Drosophila melanogaster: one gene and its partners. The protein of the gene in region 2 interacts with the protein of the main gene of each other region in a pairwise test. Each region holds a gene or a part of one and is shown on either strand. Other genes may lie near its edges. The genes, in order: Mst84Da, PolA2, CG10650 and hale.

Region 1 (2,489 bases), about 20 Mb from region 2:
TGGTTCTATGAGCACGGTGTGTGTCTCAGTCTGTCAGCCAAGCGGGAACTTGATAAGGACAAAAGGTTCGATGCCTTTCTGGCGTTTACCCATAAGGACGAGGCTCTGCTGGAGGAGTTCGTGGATAGGCTGGAACGTGGTAGGCCCAGGTTCCAACTCTGCTTCTACCTGCGAGACTGGCTGGCGGGCGAATCTATTCCCGATTGCATTGGTCAATCTATAAAGGACTCGCGGCGCATTATTGTCCTCATGACAGAGAACTTTATGAATTCCACTTGGGGTCGCCTCGAGTTCCGACTGGCCCTCCACGCCACCTCACGCGATCGGTGCAAGCGTCTGATAGTGGTGCTCTATCCAAACGTGAAGAACTTCGACAGTCTGGATAGCGAGCTAAGGACCTACATGGCATTTAACACCTATCTGGAGAGAAGCCATCCGAACTTTTGGAACAAGCTGATTTACTCGATGCCGCTACTACCAAGCTACGTTGACTAGGACATTACATTATTAATTTCAATAAGAAACAAAAATATATAATTTGTTGTCTCCCACACAGTTTATTTTTTGAGATTTACATAGTTCCCGGAAGTATTCCGACAGGTTTCCGGGTCAACTGGTTTAGCAGCAAGGACCGCAACCGCAAAAACTGCTGGTGCCGCCGCAGCAAGGTCCACATCCTCCGCAAGGACCACAGCAGGGGCCACACCCACCACAGCAGGGGCCACATCCACCACAGGGTCCGCATCCGCCGCAGGGGCCACAGCAGGGGCCCTGATAAATCATATTAAAAGTATTCACTCGACTTACGAGACCGATAAATACATACCCCAACCAAAACGTAATTCGGGTTGACGTACATGTACATGATTTTGTTTCTTAAAAGATATTTCCCAACCGGAATCGAAAGGAACCGAAAATTTAGGTGTTAACTATTGAAGGTGGAACGGAGAACTGACTGAATGTGATCCAAATTAGCCGAAGCTTCATTTGACAGCAGTCATGAGAATTTCAAGGCTAATATGATCCGACAAATTATATTCATTATTATTATTATATTCTGGTATCCCAAAACCCATAATCTAGTTAGCTATGGATATTTTCGACAGTTGTCAAATTCATATACCAACTTGTGAGTCAGGTTTCCATCATTCTTATTTTGGTTCTCGGCCTGTAATCATCGAAATATTTTTTCGTCCTAAGTTATTTCTTTGTTAGGTTCAAAGTGAGTATTTCTCAAAGTGTAAGCATGCGAAGTTTTAACAAAATTTTTCTTAGAACTTTACGGAACCATCATGTGTTGCGGACCCCTTGGATTCTGCGGACCCTGTAGCCCGTGCGGCGGTCCTTGCGGACCTTGCGGACCCTGTGGTCCTTGCGGTTCCTGCTGTAGTCCTTGTGGATCTTGCTGTGCGCCTTGCGGCCCTTGCGGTCCTTGCGGTCCTTGCTGCGGGGGCTGTGGTCCATGCGGGCCTTGTGGACCTTGCTGTGGACCTTGTAGGCCATATTGCGGGTGCTGAACAACAACCACAACATGTAAAATATCTTTTTCCTGTGAACCACAAAGTGGAACTTAGGACTGAATGCGGATAAACTCTTCTTAGCTCGCGGGCCTAGTCAATAAAATAAGAATTTCAAAATACCTTTTCCGATGGTTTTTCTCTTCTAAATGGTGCAACCTTTGTCTTAGCTATGGATACCAAATGCGTGACAATAATAATTTATGTAATATAATTGCGAAAATTAAAATTGTCAATTCTTGGTGGATTGCGATCGTTAGAGGGGGCGGAGGAACATCCTACGTTCATATCGACTAGGCTTGTGATCCAGCTCAAGAATAAATAACCTTTTCTTCTATTCACTATAGCATAGCTATTACTCTACGAGTGGCGGGTATAAAACCTGCAACCGTGAATTTAAACCTCATTCAATAATAGTATTTGTCTGCAAACGGACAAATGTCCGATAACAATAATTCTATAACAATAATAACTATTTTTAACCATCAACCGCTGTACATAAACATAATTCGAATTCATAGTAGGCTATGGAAATCGTTCTTGACCTGTCAGACCCACCTAACCTTGTAAGTTCGGAAAATATATCATTCTCATCTCGACCCTTGTGCTGCTCGCATCAAAATTTTGTTGTTTTGTCCCAAATACTTGTTTTTTTTTTTTGGCTTCTAAAGACCGTTGGTAAAAATGTTTATTGTAAAGTTAAAATAGTATACATATTTATTTCGTTTATTTTAGACTTCTCGAATTAATCATGTGCTGTGGACCTTGTGGATCGTGCTGCGGATATTACTGCTGTGGTCCCTGCTGTGGACCTTGTGGACCCCGATGTGGGCCGTGCGGATCCTGCTGTGGACCCTGTGGACCCTGTGGACCTTGTTGCGGACCATTTGGCAGTTGTTGCGGTGGCTGTTGGTGCTAAATGCTCGCAATTGGCAGCCGAATCGATTTGTGAAACCATACCACAATCCCACC
Region 2 (4,531 bases):
GCACAGCCACTCGCCATCGACGGATACCCGGAAATTGCACAGGTAAATGGTGTCCTGGACACCGCCGGCTAGCTCCTCGCTGGTGTTGGCATGCGATGCCTTTGGCAAGGCAATCGTATTGCTGCTGTTGCTCGCCTGTTGTTGCTGCAACACCAGGGGTTGCTGCTGTGTCTGTTGCGGTTGTGGCGGCTGCTGTTTCGGCTGCACTTGTTGTGAGGGTGGATTCTGACCCTTTTGGCTCTTCGCCGCTGCTGCTTGCGCCCTTGTTGTTGCCGTTGCTCCAATTGCTGTTGCTGTTGTGCCAGTTGGAGTTGCTGCCGTGGCGGACTTTGCAGACTTGCCTACTTGTTGTTGCCCCGTTTGAGGCGCCTTCTTGGCAGCCATTGTTCCTGACGACAATGACGTCGCGCTGCCCGATGTTGGCGTTTTCACTGCACTTCTCAAGGGCTTCGAGCTGCTGCCGCTGGCACTTGATCCTGTTGCAAGGCTGCTCGACTTGATGCGACCGCTGCCGCTGGTGCTGCTGAGGTTGTTGTTGTTCGCCGACGACAACTTGGTCCTTTTTGTATCCTCGACAAGTCCACGCATTTCGCTGCTGCTTCAAAGTACGCCTGAGTAGTGTGTGTGTGTGCGTGGGCGTCCATAAAAATACAGATATATACATATATCGATATTAGCTGTTCAATAAGTTCCGAGTTTCCTTTGCTGCCGCTTTCCCTCAACTGTTTTTTCATTACCTTAGAGGGGTTTTTTCCTTTTGTAAACCTCTTTTCCAGAGGGTTTTACTTCTGAAATTAACAAAATAACCGAAAGTTCTCGCCGCTTTGATTTTGCACCGTTATCCTGTTGTGTACGCGTTGAGTAAGACTGGCAAAAAGTTCTTTATCCTATTGATTTGTCCAGTGCGCCAAGCTCGCAAGCTCCTCGCGAGCTTTCGTTGGGGGTGTTCTCGATGGTCACGCTGTGTGTGGTGCGCAAATCACCTTTGACACTTTCCCAATGCACTTTTAAGTTATTTTTAATCATATTATTTATACAAGTACCGAAATATTTCAACGACAGTTTCGCACAGCCCACGAAATTGCTAATACTAATTAATAAATACATTTTAGAATAGTTTTGAGTACCTAAATTGTTATATTAAATATATATGTGTATATATTTATATATATTATATATAATATATTTTATATATGCAACATTATTACTTAACATATTATTATTAGCGCACAATGGAAATTTGGTTTCCATTGCTGCTTATCATCGAATGAATAATAATTCGGACTCACCGCGTTTCAGTCGCTTTGCTTTCAGTTTCGATGGCGACGGGGATGAAGCACTGGCGCTCGCCACCGTGTCCGGCGCAACAGGTACAACAGGTGGTGCGGGCTCGTCGGGATACGGGTACGTGGTGGTGCCATCGATTACCTCGGAAGAGGCGGCTGCTGCGGCCGCATTCGAGAACTGTGTGGATATGTGGCTGAAGATCTGCGAGGAGATGCTCTCCGTGCGCCGGAAGGTGTTCCGCAGGCGGTCCAGCGATGACGTGGGGGCGCTGGGCGCAGGCGCGGCACCTCCGGTGGTGGGCGTAACCGGAATGGAGACACTCGAGGATTGGGAGTCTTCACTCCTTTCGCGGCGCACCAGCAGATCGTCCGTGCTCATGGCGAATCACTTGCTTCGCGGCGATTATCAGGACACTGTGCGGAGTCACATGAATCAAAATGACGCGATTACAGCCGCTAATTTCGCTTGTTTTGCGCTTGAACGCGGGTAAACAAAAAAGTTTGTCAATACAAAATTAAAACAGCTGTTGCACTGCGATTGGGGATGGGCGATAACAATCACTGGTTACAGATCACGGTTATCGCAGCTCGATGGGAGCTGTTATGTTATTGAACTGACTATGCTTATCGATAAGAAAACTCAAGCAGGTGTTAAAAGCATCATAGGGTGGCAACACTGTGCCCACTTTTACCGCCAAAATAAATTGCTAGGTTTATTTACGAAAATTAAACGCCCAACGAAAGGACAACGAATGGAGGAGGAATTGAAGCAGCAGTTCGACGAGATGGGCGTGGAGCCAGCGGACGCAGTTCTGGGCAGGTGTGCGGAGCTGGCCATTACCTACAACATCCACGACGCCACCGAGTTCGTGGAGCAGTGGATGGCCTTCAGTTTGTCGCACCTCCAAGGCGAGGATCCTGCGATCGAGAATCTGGGCGACTTTGAGCGCAAGGTGTTGCAGCTGCGGAAGGACAAGGCGGGATACAAGGCAACTGGCCAGAAGGCGAAATCATATGGTTCGCCCTCTGTACAGGATACGAGCTCACTGGCCACCTATGGCGTCATGGAGGACGATCCCATGCTGGATGACTATGTCAGCGAATCGGCAGTGGACTCCTCCGCTCTGCACACGCCCAAGGCCAAGAAGCAGTCGGATCGGACCGCCAATCTCAAGGGCGCCGCACTCTTTAGCCCCGCCAGCTATACACCCCAATCGGCAAAGAGGAAAGCAGGTTTAGAAACACCATCCAACTCAGTGGCCGGCAAGCCGGGCGATATAGTTGACACCTTCGGACATCCCAAACTCCTGGCTGGCTCCAGCTGGCAGTCACAAATGGAGCACACGGTTCCGGTGACTCAAAAACTGCTGCACAACGACGCCCCGCTGACCATCGCAAATTTGGGCTACATGAACGACCTGCTGACCGACCGATGTCACAACCTGCGCGTCCGCTTCAACCAAACCGGTCCGGCACTAGTGGACAAGAAACTTGGACAAGCAGGCGCAGCCGAGTGCATTTGGTATCCGCAGGATAGGCAGGTATTGCAGTCCGCAGGTGGACTCCACGCGGTGGGAATGATTCATTCCGAGGACGATGGCCCACTGGACGCCCACTCCGCATTTATGGCCGTTTTAGATGACGATGTAGAAGATGAAATGGACCCAACGCTCACGCTCAACTTCTCCAGGGTCAAGTCTGCCAGCATATTCCCAGGTCAAGTGGTGCTCGCCAAAGGGTTCATACCCAGGGGCAAAACCTTCATGGTAGAGGAGATACACACAGAGCGCAAACTGACGCCAGCAACGCCACTGCAAATAGACAGGGAGCTTCAGTTTGTGGTGGCCTCCGGACCCTTTACGGACAGTACGGATCTCTTCTACGAACCGCTGCACGACCTGCTCAAGTACCTCAAGGATCACAGACCTGACGTGCTGGTGCTCACGGGACCATTCCTGGATGCCGATCACAAGATGGTCGGCGAACTGGCCGAGACCTTCGATACATTCTTCGAGAAGATGATTGGGGGAATAATGGAGTCGATTGGTAGTCACACAGCAGTGCTGGTGGTGACCAGTCAGAAGGATGCCATGGCTCTTTCCGTATATCCAACGCCGCCGCCCGCTCTGCGCAGAACCTATCCAAATCTATACATGCTGCCCGATCCATCTCTGGTGGACTTGGATGGCTTTACGCTGGGCGTTACCTCAACCGACGTGGTGGACCACCTGTTGAGTCACGAGTTTGCTGTGAATGCCGGCGAGCGGATGCACAGGGCCATCAACCACTTGTTCCACCAGGGCTCCTTCTATCCTTTGTATCCGCCGGCGGACGAAGACATGGCCTACGATTCCCAGCTGGCGTTGAAATATGCACAGCTCAAACAGCTACCAAATGTGCTCATCTTGCCCAGCGATCAGCGGCATTTCATCCGCTTGGTCAACGACTGCCTGGTGATCAATCCCGGCCGTGTCGCGGACAAGAAGGGTGGAACTTTCGCCCGATTCCTGGTGGCGCCTTCGGTGCCGGGAAAGGCGGCCAACATGTTCAACAGTGTGGCGTGTCAAGTCCAACGCATCTAACCTGACCACTTTGTGATGATGATAAGGAAAGGATAGTGGGAAATAGATCAGTACAATATTATTAGTTAATATAATGAACACACTACTTTGTCATAACTTTTCACAAAATACATTCAACAACAAACAACTAGCATTAGTTATTTTGGGCCAAAGTAGGTATTGTATTATTTGTAAACATATGCCCTGGAGTTTTCTCAGACTCAAGTTTTATATACAACAAGATCAATAATGGCTAGCAACGTTGCTGCGCCACAAGCTTCAGCTGGAGGAGATTCGACGGAACTGGAGCGCTGTTGCTGGATCTGTTTTGAGACCGATAAGGAGGCAGGTCGCCAGGCTTGGGTGAATCCATGTCTCTGCCGAGGAACCAATAAGTGGGTGCACCAGAGCTGCATTTCCCTCTGGATCGACGAGAAGACCCGAATAAACAACAATCTGCAAGCCGTTTCCTGTCCACAATGCCAAACGGAGTACACCATTGCATACCCGAATCTCTGGATTTTCGATAGGGCTTTGGAGCTGACCAACGATCTTATCCTAACAAACTTATATAATTGCCTGGCCAATGTCTTCACGGTGGTCTTTGCCTATTGGTCAGCGGTTTCATTCGGAGCAAAAACATATTTGCAGATCACTGGTCAGGAAGGTCACGTTCATCAAATA
Region 3 (4,801 bases), on a different chromosome or scaffold from region 2:
CTCAGTTGTAAATTTTGCTCACCCAATGAGGGGAAAACCAGAACTAGGAAGGGCAAAAAGATGTGCCACATAAAGTTAGGCGAATTGAACGGTTGCGTATCTATGTACTTCAACTTCAACAGCAGTGCTGGAGGACCAGATGGCTTTATGGTGAGAAGCTGCATTTCCGACATGGACGAGAGTTCACTGGAACACTGCGAGAAACATGCAGAACTCTGTGAGAGGTGTTTCGAAGACGATTGCAACTATGTGGAAATAGATAAAAATGGTTTGGCCACGAATGCAGGATCGCGAATAATATACTCAAGTCTAATGATCTTCTGTTTAGCCGGCTGGCTCTTTAGGAGTGAAAAATGCAAACTTATGATTATATTATAGGCCTGTTCAGCTTAATAATGGCAAATTGAAAACCAAAATTATGGAATTCGGCGAAATCACCATCGTCATGTAATGGAAAATGTAATTTGAGTTACCTAAGAATGCTACAAATACTTTCTGAGACATTTCCAACTGGCTCTTCTAGTGCACCCAAACAAATTTCTTCGAACTATTGTTAATATAAACTCTCATTTTGATTGATGCAATAAATATACACACATATATGTACAAAGTATATTATTAATGGTACTGCGGTTGATAAGGCGTTGTGATTATTTCTTTATTTGATAAGGCCTAGCAGGTTGAAAACTCTTTTACCACTAGCCATCAATGAAAACAGGGTTTTCCAAGGACATAATTACTAAACTACTGTGAAAGAGTAATTGTTTTATTAAAATGATTTATTTGGGATTATGGAAGTGTTCTTAAAATGCTTCAGCTCCTATAATTAGGTTATGTCTTTTTGTCTGTTGCTTTGTAATAGTTAACATTACTCATAGACCCAGGCACCCGGTAATTTGATTGGATCATCCAACTACGTGGAGGTGGTTGGATTACAGGGCACTGCGTAGAGCGATCACCACTCCCGTCAGAAGGCCGACCACGCCCACATTCCTGAGTGCGCCTGCTCCATTGAAGGGTACCTTGTTGCACTTGCTCTCCGTACACAATTCGCACTGATGGGCCTCCACTTTGGCATTGCACTGGTACTGCATCAGGTGGCTGGCAGCGGTAAAACATCCTCGCACTCCAAGTTCATCTGGGGGAAAATGTTGAAAGGCAATTGTTAGGATTTTTGCTGGCATAATAATAATGCAATTTGGGAATACCCTTTTACATTATAAAATAAAATCTTTGAAAACTATAGCATTGATTCGCTGTGCTTAGACTTGGTACCAACTTACTCCAGACTCCGCTGTAGCACGTTCCATTGGGGCAGTTGATCAAAGGGAGCGTGTCCGGATATTTGGCCGACCAGCAGCCGGAAACCTCATTCGAAATGCATGTAATGCACTGGAACTCGCCGGCAGCCACATTGCAGCCATTTTCGGAGCAGGAAGTGCAGGCATTGGTTGTAGAGCAGCCAGCCTCCAAGGTGTTTAGGCACCCTCGGGTAACATTGGTTCCTGAGGTCATGGTATAACACCCGACTTCCTGGTTGTACTTGGCCTGTCCGCAGGACTTCGCATTGGTAGCAACCTGTTGCTCCGCACAGTTCTCGCAAATGATACAGGAACCGGCCTCTCGTTCGTAGGTCGGACTATTGCAAAAGTCGGAGTTGCAGACGAGGCAACTGGGATCAGTGCTGTCCGACGCACACTTGATTTCCGTGGTGGCCGATGTGCAACCACGGGTCATGTTGCTCGCAGACGTTCCGGTGGTGAAGCACCCGGCATCGATTTGACTACATCCCGCGACCAAGGTATTTGAGACCGCATTGCAGTTCTCTCCTGAGCAATTATAGCACTGGCGACGATTGGCGGGGAATAGTCCCACATTGCACAGGGATGCCGAGCATGAGGAGCACGTGGATTCCGTTCCAGCAGCACAGGGGTCACCACATTGACGGGTCACCGTCTTGTTGTCATTCAACTGATTCACGCAGACCTGTCCATTATTGGGGCACACTGCATTGTATTGCGTATCCGTCACGTTGGTCGTGGCGCAATTCGCTTCGCCGAGGCACTGCTGGCACACCAAATTCAAATTGCAATTGTCTTCCTTGCAGGTCGAGCAGGATGGTAAGGTGCACGCAGTGCCATTAATCAAGCAGCCACGAGTTAGAGTTCCTATTGGGATACAGAAAATCAATAACTAGATGCAAGGGAATATGGTTCAGAGCAAAACTTCGTATGATTTCTAATATAAACTTATAATGATTTCTAATATAACTTATATATTCCTTATAAGTTGAGAGCCTGCAGATTCTAGTGGCGCCTAAGCTGTGCTAATTTCATTCAGATCATTTTCACGCCCACTCTAAAGCCCACAAAGCGTGCCAGATTCTACTGATACTTCAACAGAATGTTTAAATGTGTACCTTAAACTCCCACAAGCTGAATAAAGAGGTATCTGATGGTCGAGTGACTCCACTTTAGCGTTCTCTTCGTTATTAAATCAAATTATACGCAATATTTAAATCTTAGACAACAACACGAAAAAGCCAGGTAGTGCAGTAACTGCCAAATGAGTCACAACATCATAAACCTTTTTCGATCCGCACGAAATTAGAAAAGAAAACAAGGATCAATAGCTATCAAAAAGAAAAAGAGATAATCGCTTATCACCTTTGGTTGCACTGATCGATAAGAGGGCCACTACCCCCGTCTAAGAATATGAAATAGTCGGTCATGAGTCATACAAACCCACCTGCGTTAATAAGAGTATAGCATTCATTATCACACTCTATAGAAGTTTGAGTAGATGGACTCGTTAAACAATTTCCAGTGTCATTCGTCGTCGATGTGCACGAATAGCACTCTGCAATGGCAATAATAATTTGAAGTAAGTCATTTGAAAAAACTCATCCAAAATGTGGTAACCTACGGAGGGCTGAGGTGCTGTCCAGCTGGCTGGCAATGAAAGCTGCTATCACAATCATACACAGGCTGTATTCTCTCATGGCTCTCGGTTTTCTATTCTTTCTGGCTTCTCAACTGAAATGTCGGACCGGCTGGATCGACCACCGTTTTTTAACTGGCTCCCTCACTGTTTGGCCATATTTTTTTTACCCCCATTCGCATAATCAATTTCACCTGAACTCACTAACACCTGCCAAGCTCTTCTCCGCATGCAGTGGTTATCTGCTCTACACACATATATATGTTTGTATACATATATATATATATATATATATATATGTACAATCGGAGGAAGTCAGTTCTCTTTTAGCTGATAACTTCAATACCCAGGTGTAAATGTGCAAGTGTGTGTGTGTACAACGCTGTTCACATGCGATGATAGTTACCACAAGCCTGCATTTACTTTGGAGCTTTTGCAAAAGCTGAAAAATTAACCCATGCTGCCAACGTTCTTACCGTATTTCCTTAAACGAATATACATCAACAGTAACTTCCTGTTTCCGATCTAGCCGGCGGATAATTGAACACAATTATAACGATAATTAAATACTTTAATTAAAATTTGGTTTGCCTTGGCTGTACGGCAGTTATATGATATATTTTCTTTTGATTTTCATCAAATTAAAATATGGTCAAAAACTGTTGTATATCTCATACATATATTAATACTTACCATTATTTTTCGATTATCCCTATAACAGCAATATGATATAGTGGTCCAACCTATATGTATACTAACTGAAATTGAACGAAGACAAACATGACTGTATCGACTCTACTGTTGAATATACGAATCTGAATGAAATCAATGTACCATTTGCAAGGGTATAAAAATAAAAGGCGCCACCAAAAACTGCATGAATAATCTCAATTTCCAGATTTTACAGGTTCGACAAACTTTCCATTTGATTATGGATTGACTATAGTTCCATTGATAAAAAAAATAATGTAATTTGAACTAACAAGAAAGAACTCAATTCCTATCAGATACCCAGATTTAATTGAATAAATACACATTTGTAGGGTCAAAAACACTTTCTTGTTTCATAGTTTTTAACCCTTATATTCTACGAGGAAAGTGTACAATTATATATGTAAAGCTGTATTGCCCAATTTTCTGGCTAATAACATATAAACAATGTGCCTTAACTACAAGTCATATATCTTAACGATACTTGAGGATTGAAGTGAGACTTTTGTTTATATGTGAACGTTCGTTCTCAAGTTTATAATTTCGGTTACTCGTTCTTGAACTTATGTGTTTGCTTTTAAGTTTTTTTTTTTTTTATCGTTCGTTCCTAATTTAATATCGAAACTTAATTTTTCTCTCAGTGTCTTAATAAAAATTATTATTATTTATTGTATTTGGGCGACTTCTTAAATTCTGCACATGCCGGTGTTTTATGTTATTAAGGTTTAAGTTGAAGTCTAGACAAAATGATTCAATAAAACAAAGTACAAATAGTAAGTACATACTTTTATATCTTTTTATCTTTAGCATATCATTTAAGGTTTTTTTGAACCAGACTGGTATTCAACATAAAGCCATTATCTTCAAAAAATATAACCGAAATCTAATCTGGGTTATCTCCGGCGAATTTAGCACCGAGAGCTAATCATGTTGCTCACACTCAGTACCTTTAAGATCTTTTCTACGCGCGGACGTATTGCTGTTTAGTTGAATTTCTGGCATTGCAATTTAATAAATTAGTTCGTTGGAAAGCATGTTATACGTTGAAAAGTGCAAGTGACTTCAAGCCTAGAAGGTATAAATATTTTTGATCATTCGATCCGACTATGTCTGTCCATATAAGCGTCGAGATCTCGGAAACCTACGTCAA
Region 4 (3,750 bases), on a different chromosome or scaffold from region 2:
TACCACGGCAGTTGAGCTGCAGCAAAGATTTCTCCTTCCGCCACCTCCGTATTGCCAATCCAGCAGCAGGACCTGCACCCAAGTTAGTCCCTCTGCCCGGAAAGTGAGGCGTTGTCGCACAAGGATTTCTGAGCTGGGAACGGATCCGTATCCTTGCCAAATAAGAACTCCCTTGCCGCCAGCTTCGCTGATCTTGCCCGGCCACCGGAATTTGCAATCCCAACCCCTTGAGCCCAGAAACGACCATTTCGGAATAAACTCGGTCATGTCCAACTACGTGGCTAGCTTTATGAACATGCAGGCTGATCGATAATTACTTTTAATTACAGTTCATTGTTTAACGAACATTACTTGTGATATAAGTCCTAGCTGCTGTAGAAATTGTGAAAGAATTCATTTTTTATGTATCATAAAATATTTATAAATAGGGTTTAAATATTACAAACTAATAAACGAAAAAAAAACCTTAAAAGTGACTCTCTCTTCATATTGCAAGAATAAATATTCTTATTATTGAATTCAATTAAGAAATAGTGGCAAGCTGCTTGCTTAAAAGTCTTGGAATTTTATTACACTTTCTTCTTTTACAGTGTAGGAGTGGCTCTTAGTCCCCTTCCCTAGCGACCATCTCTTGGAGGAGCTCGCACCAAGCCGGGATGCCAGAAGCAGTTGGAGCAGTTGCAGCGCGGACAATGCCAGCAGTTTCCGCACTTCATGCACACATTTCCGGTCGCATGTTGGGTGGGCGAGGAGCAGGGGGATGGACCTGGTACGGATCCGCCACTGTCCCAGAGATCCTTGTTCCGGAGACACGAACGACTGCGCTTCGGGCTGGCCGAACGAGCTCTTGGCAGCCCGGCGGCGGAGGCAGATGTGGCTGTTGGGGATGATGACGAGGATGGTGGTTGTGGTGGTGCAGCTGGAGGAGCACAAGGAGCTGCCGGCGGGCAATGAGGCTCTCTCTTCGCCGAACTGGAATCTGGCTGATCTAGAAACCTAACCGTGGGCGCATACAGCTGGAAAGCCAGAGGCTGGGGGATCTGCAGGTCACAACAGGACCTCTCCCGTTCCTTGCGCAATTCGGCCAGCAGGCGATTGAAGGACAGGTCGTACTGCACCAATTGCTGCAACGGCAGCTGCGAGTCCTGTGCGGGATTCGTCAGCAGCTGCTGATGCGTCAAGTGCTGCGGTTGGGCCAGCGGCACCAGGTTCCACGATGGCGGAACTGGAATCAGGCTGCACAAGTAAACGGGCTGATTTAAGCCACCATGGGAACTGGGTGGTGCCAGGCAAAAGATCTGCGGCATCGCTGGGGCTCCTTGAGCCAACGATGATTCCTGTCGATAGCATCTTGATGGATTTGGCTGCGAATCATATCCAGCGCATGGTCCACCGGCTGAACAACACTGGCCATGAAAGCTGCAAGGAGAGGCCTGGATGGGATTGGGCATCGGAGTTGGATATGGATTGGCACTAGGACTGGCACTTGGACCGGCTGTACCTGGCTGGCCAAATCTGTCCAAGCCACCATTGAACTGGGTACAGCTCGAGCAGATCATGTGATTTTTGTATTCATCCAAATTGAAAGAATTCGGCAGTGGCACATTGCAGTCAATGCTGGAGAGGAAGGGAGTAGAAATCGAATCACTTTTCATGGAAATTCATGTATAAATTACCTCAGACCCTCTGGACACTCGGTGACCAGGCACATGCCCAGTCGCGGTGGTTCCACCTCGGACTTGGAGGGCACATCGTTGGTCGACAGTGGAGCGTAGGACATGGTGAACTGATGCTGTGAATTTCCCTGCGACTGCAGGCCGCCACCGTTTCCATTGGCGATCAGCTTGCCCGACGAGGTTGCATTGCATCCGTGCTCACAGCTCTCCGTGCAGAACATCTTCAACTCTTCACCACCCGGAGAGGCCAACTCACGGATATGACAATTTTGTGTACATGTTAAAGCACAAAAGGTGTAGAAATGTTTGACATCATAAAGCTGAGACATACTGATTGATACCAGACTTGCTTCTCTAGTATATAATTTGAATTATTTTAAGAAATAAATACTGTTTCAAGTTTTTAAATAATTTTATCTTATTAATATTAATATGGTTCTAAAATCTTAAACACCAAGAACGTTTTGGTCACTACTTACACAGTAAGGGAAATCCAGTTTCGATGAGCATTTCAAAGTTGACAGTACATTTGTCGCCTGATATACTTTTTGATATGCGTTAGGAAACATCAACTCACAACACCCGGAAAACACATCAAAATTCAGGAAAATGGAGGCCCCAGGCGAGAATGAATCATCAGGGCAATTGGCCAAATCAAATGACGAAACGGTGGCCAAATGCTGTTTCATGATTACCGTGGGCACTGATGGTCTCATCGAAATTAGCTCACTTAATCAGGAATGCAAGAATCCCCAAAGCGGAGCAGACAGTAGTAACTCCCCACTGACGAATGGCACTAAGGAAACCAAGAAAGAGTGCATAGCTGTGCTCAAAGGGAATTCAAATGACATCGATGATGACTCAACTGAAAAGCTGGAGAAGAGCAAGAATGACAAGTCCATAGAGGAGATCAAGAAAACCGAAACTTTGCCGCCTTTCGTTAAGATCTGCAACAAGGATCTGGCGAATAGACCTTCGTTCGTGGTTCTCGAGGATGCTTTGGCTAGGAATCGGATTCAACAGGACATAGAACAGTCGAAGGAAGACCAAACCGGCAAGTGTCAGACGCAGCAGACCTCGCGTTCCTACGCCATTTCTAATGCAGGATCCCAGACGGACAAAGCCTTTCCGCAGTATCCAACCACCAGCAATAGCAACCAGAAAGGTTATATTATTCATTTTAGATTGCTTCTATATTTATGTTCCTTCCTCCCTCTTTATTCCCCAGGTAACACTGTACAAGCCGCTCGGAAGTTATCCCTTCAAACTGCAGCCCAGGTCCGACAAAAACTTTTAAAATTAAATCGGGAGCAACAGCAACAACAGCGACAACCGTCGCTGAATGAGCAGCATCAACAGCAAATGTCCTTGCTGCAACATCAGAACATGCAGCAGAATGTGCTGCAGCAGCAGCAGCAACATATGCAGCAGCATTTGACGCTGCAGCAACACCCGAACGTGCGAGTTCAACCGACCAACAACTCGCCATATGTGACCATCAGTTTTATGCACATGAATCAGCCGGGGACGGCAACATCGGGTTGTCCTGTCATGTATCCTGGCCAGCAGTTCCTGTGCGCCACGCCGAGCAGCATGTCCAGCTGCTCCTGCTGCACGTGCAGCAATTGCTGTCCGTCGAGGACGAGTCAAGTCTGCCCAATGCAGATGGGCAATCAGTATCAATGTCCAGCCAACGGAAGCAACTGCTGCATGTTGAAGCCGGAGAGTTTTGCAAACGGCTGCTACAACGGTGGTACATCCTGCTGTCCTTTGTCGAGCATGGAATCACATCCTTCTATGGGATTAGGTGGTCAGATCAGCCAGCACATGATGCACCCAGTTCTCGGAACCTCCACTTGTGCGCTGCAGCAGCAGCCGAATATTCCGATTTCTGGAGGATTTTATCCCTGTTGCTCGTGCCAATCCTTGTGCAACCAGTGTTCCCAGTGCAGGACGCACCCCCATCCTTGTTGCCACTGCCTGGGACCCTTCAACAACCAACAGGTGTTCCAATCACAGCAGCAGCAGCAACAAGCCCAAAGTGTCTGCTGCCCCTTGAAACCAAGCCAGCGAC

Evidence for each region.
Region 1: the proteins of PolA2 (region 2) and Mst84Da interact in a two-hybrid assay, tested with the Drosophila melanogaster proteins (one large-scale study listed by BioGRID).
Region 3: the proteins of PolA2 (region 2) and CG10650 interact in a two-hybrid assay, tested with the Drosophila melanogaster proteins (one large-scale study listed by BioGRID).
Region 4: the proteins of PolA2 (region 2) and hale interact in a two-hybrid assay, tested with the Drosophila melanogaster proteins (one large-scale study listed by BioGRID).

What each region holds. Positions count from the first base shown.
Region 1 is NT_033777.3:7,364,309-7,366,797, reverse strand, and holds Mst84Da (Male-specific RNA 84Da), read right to left. Parts: upstream 949-2,489; 5' UTR 866-948; coding exon 827-865; exon of another isoform or gene 772-826; coding exon 619-771; 3' UTR 536-618; downstream 1-535. Other genes in the region: Mst84Db (Male-specific RNA 84Db), read left to right, coding at 1,293-1,517; Mst84Dc (Male-specific RNA 84Dc), read left to right, coding at 2,269-2,436.
Region 2 is NT_033777.3:27,237,236-27,241,766, forward strand, and holds PolA2 (DNA polymerase alpha subunit 2), read left to right. Parts: upstream 1-1,927; 5' UTR 1,928-2,038; coding exon 2,039-3,868; 3' UTR 3,869-3,993; downstream 3,994-4,531. Other genes in the region: CG31064 (uncharacterized protein), read right to left, coding at 1-588; CG17991 (uncharacterized protein), read left to right, coding at 4,097-4,531. UniProt on the Drosophila melanogaster protein: Accessory subunit of the DNA polymerase alpha complex (also known as the alpha DNA polymerase-primase complex) which plays an essential role in the initiation of DNA synthesis.
Region 3 is NT_033779.5:18,992,854-18,997,654, forward strand, and holds CG10650 (uncharacterized protein), read right to left. Parts: upstream 3,082-4,801; 5' UTR 3,002-3,081; coding exon 2,926-3,001; intron 2,860-2,925; coding exon 2,749-2,859; intron 2,169-2,748; coding exon 1,284-2,168; intron 1,139-1,283; coding exon 933-1,138; 3' UTR 507-932; downstream 1-506. Other genes in the region: CG46465 (uncharacterized protein), read left to right, coding at 1-378.
Region 4 is NT_037436.4:19,983,879-19,987,628, forward strand, and holds hale (hale-bopp), read right to left. Parts: upstream 1,991-3,750; 5' UTR 1,898-1,990; coding exon 1,677-1,897; intron 1,618-1,676; coding exon 618-1,617; 3' UTR 548-617; downstream 1-547. Other genes in the region: CG17732 (uncharacterized protein), read left to right, coding at 1-313; schuy (schumacher-levy), read left to right, coding at 2,286-2,841, 2,905-3,750.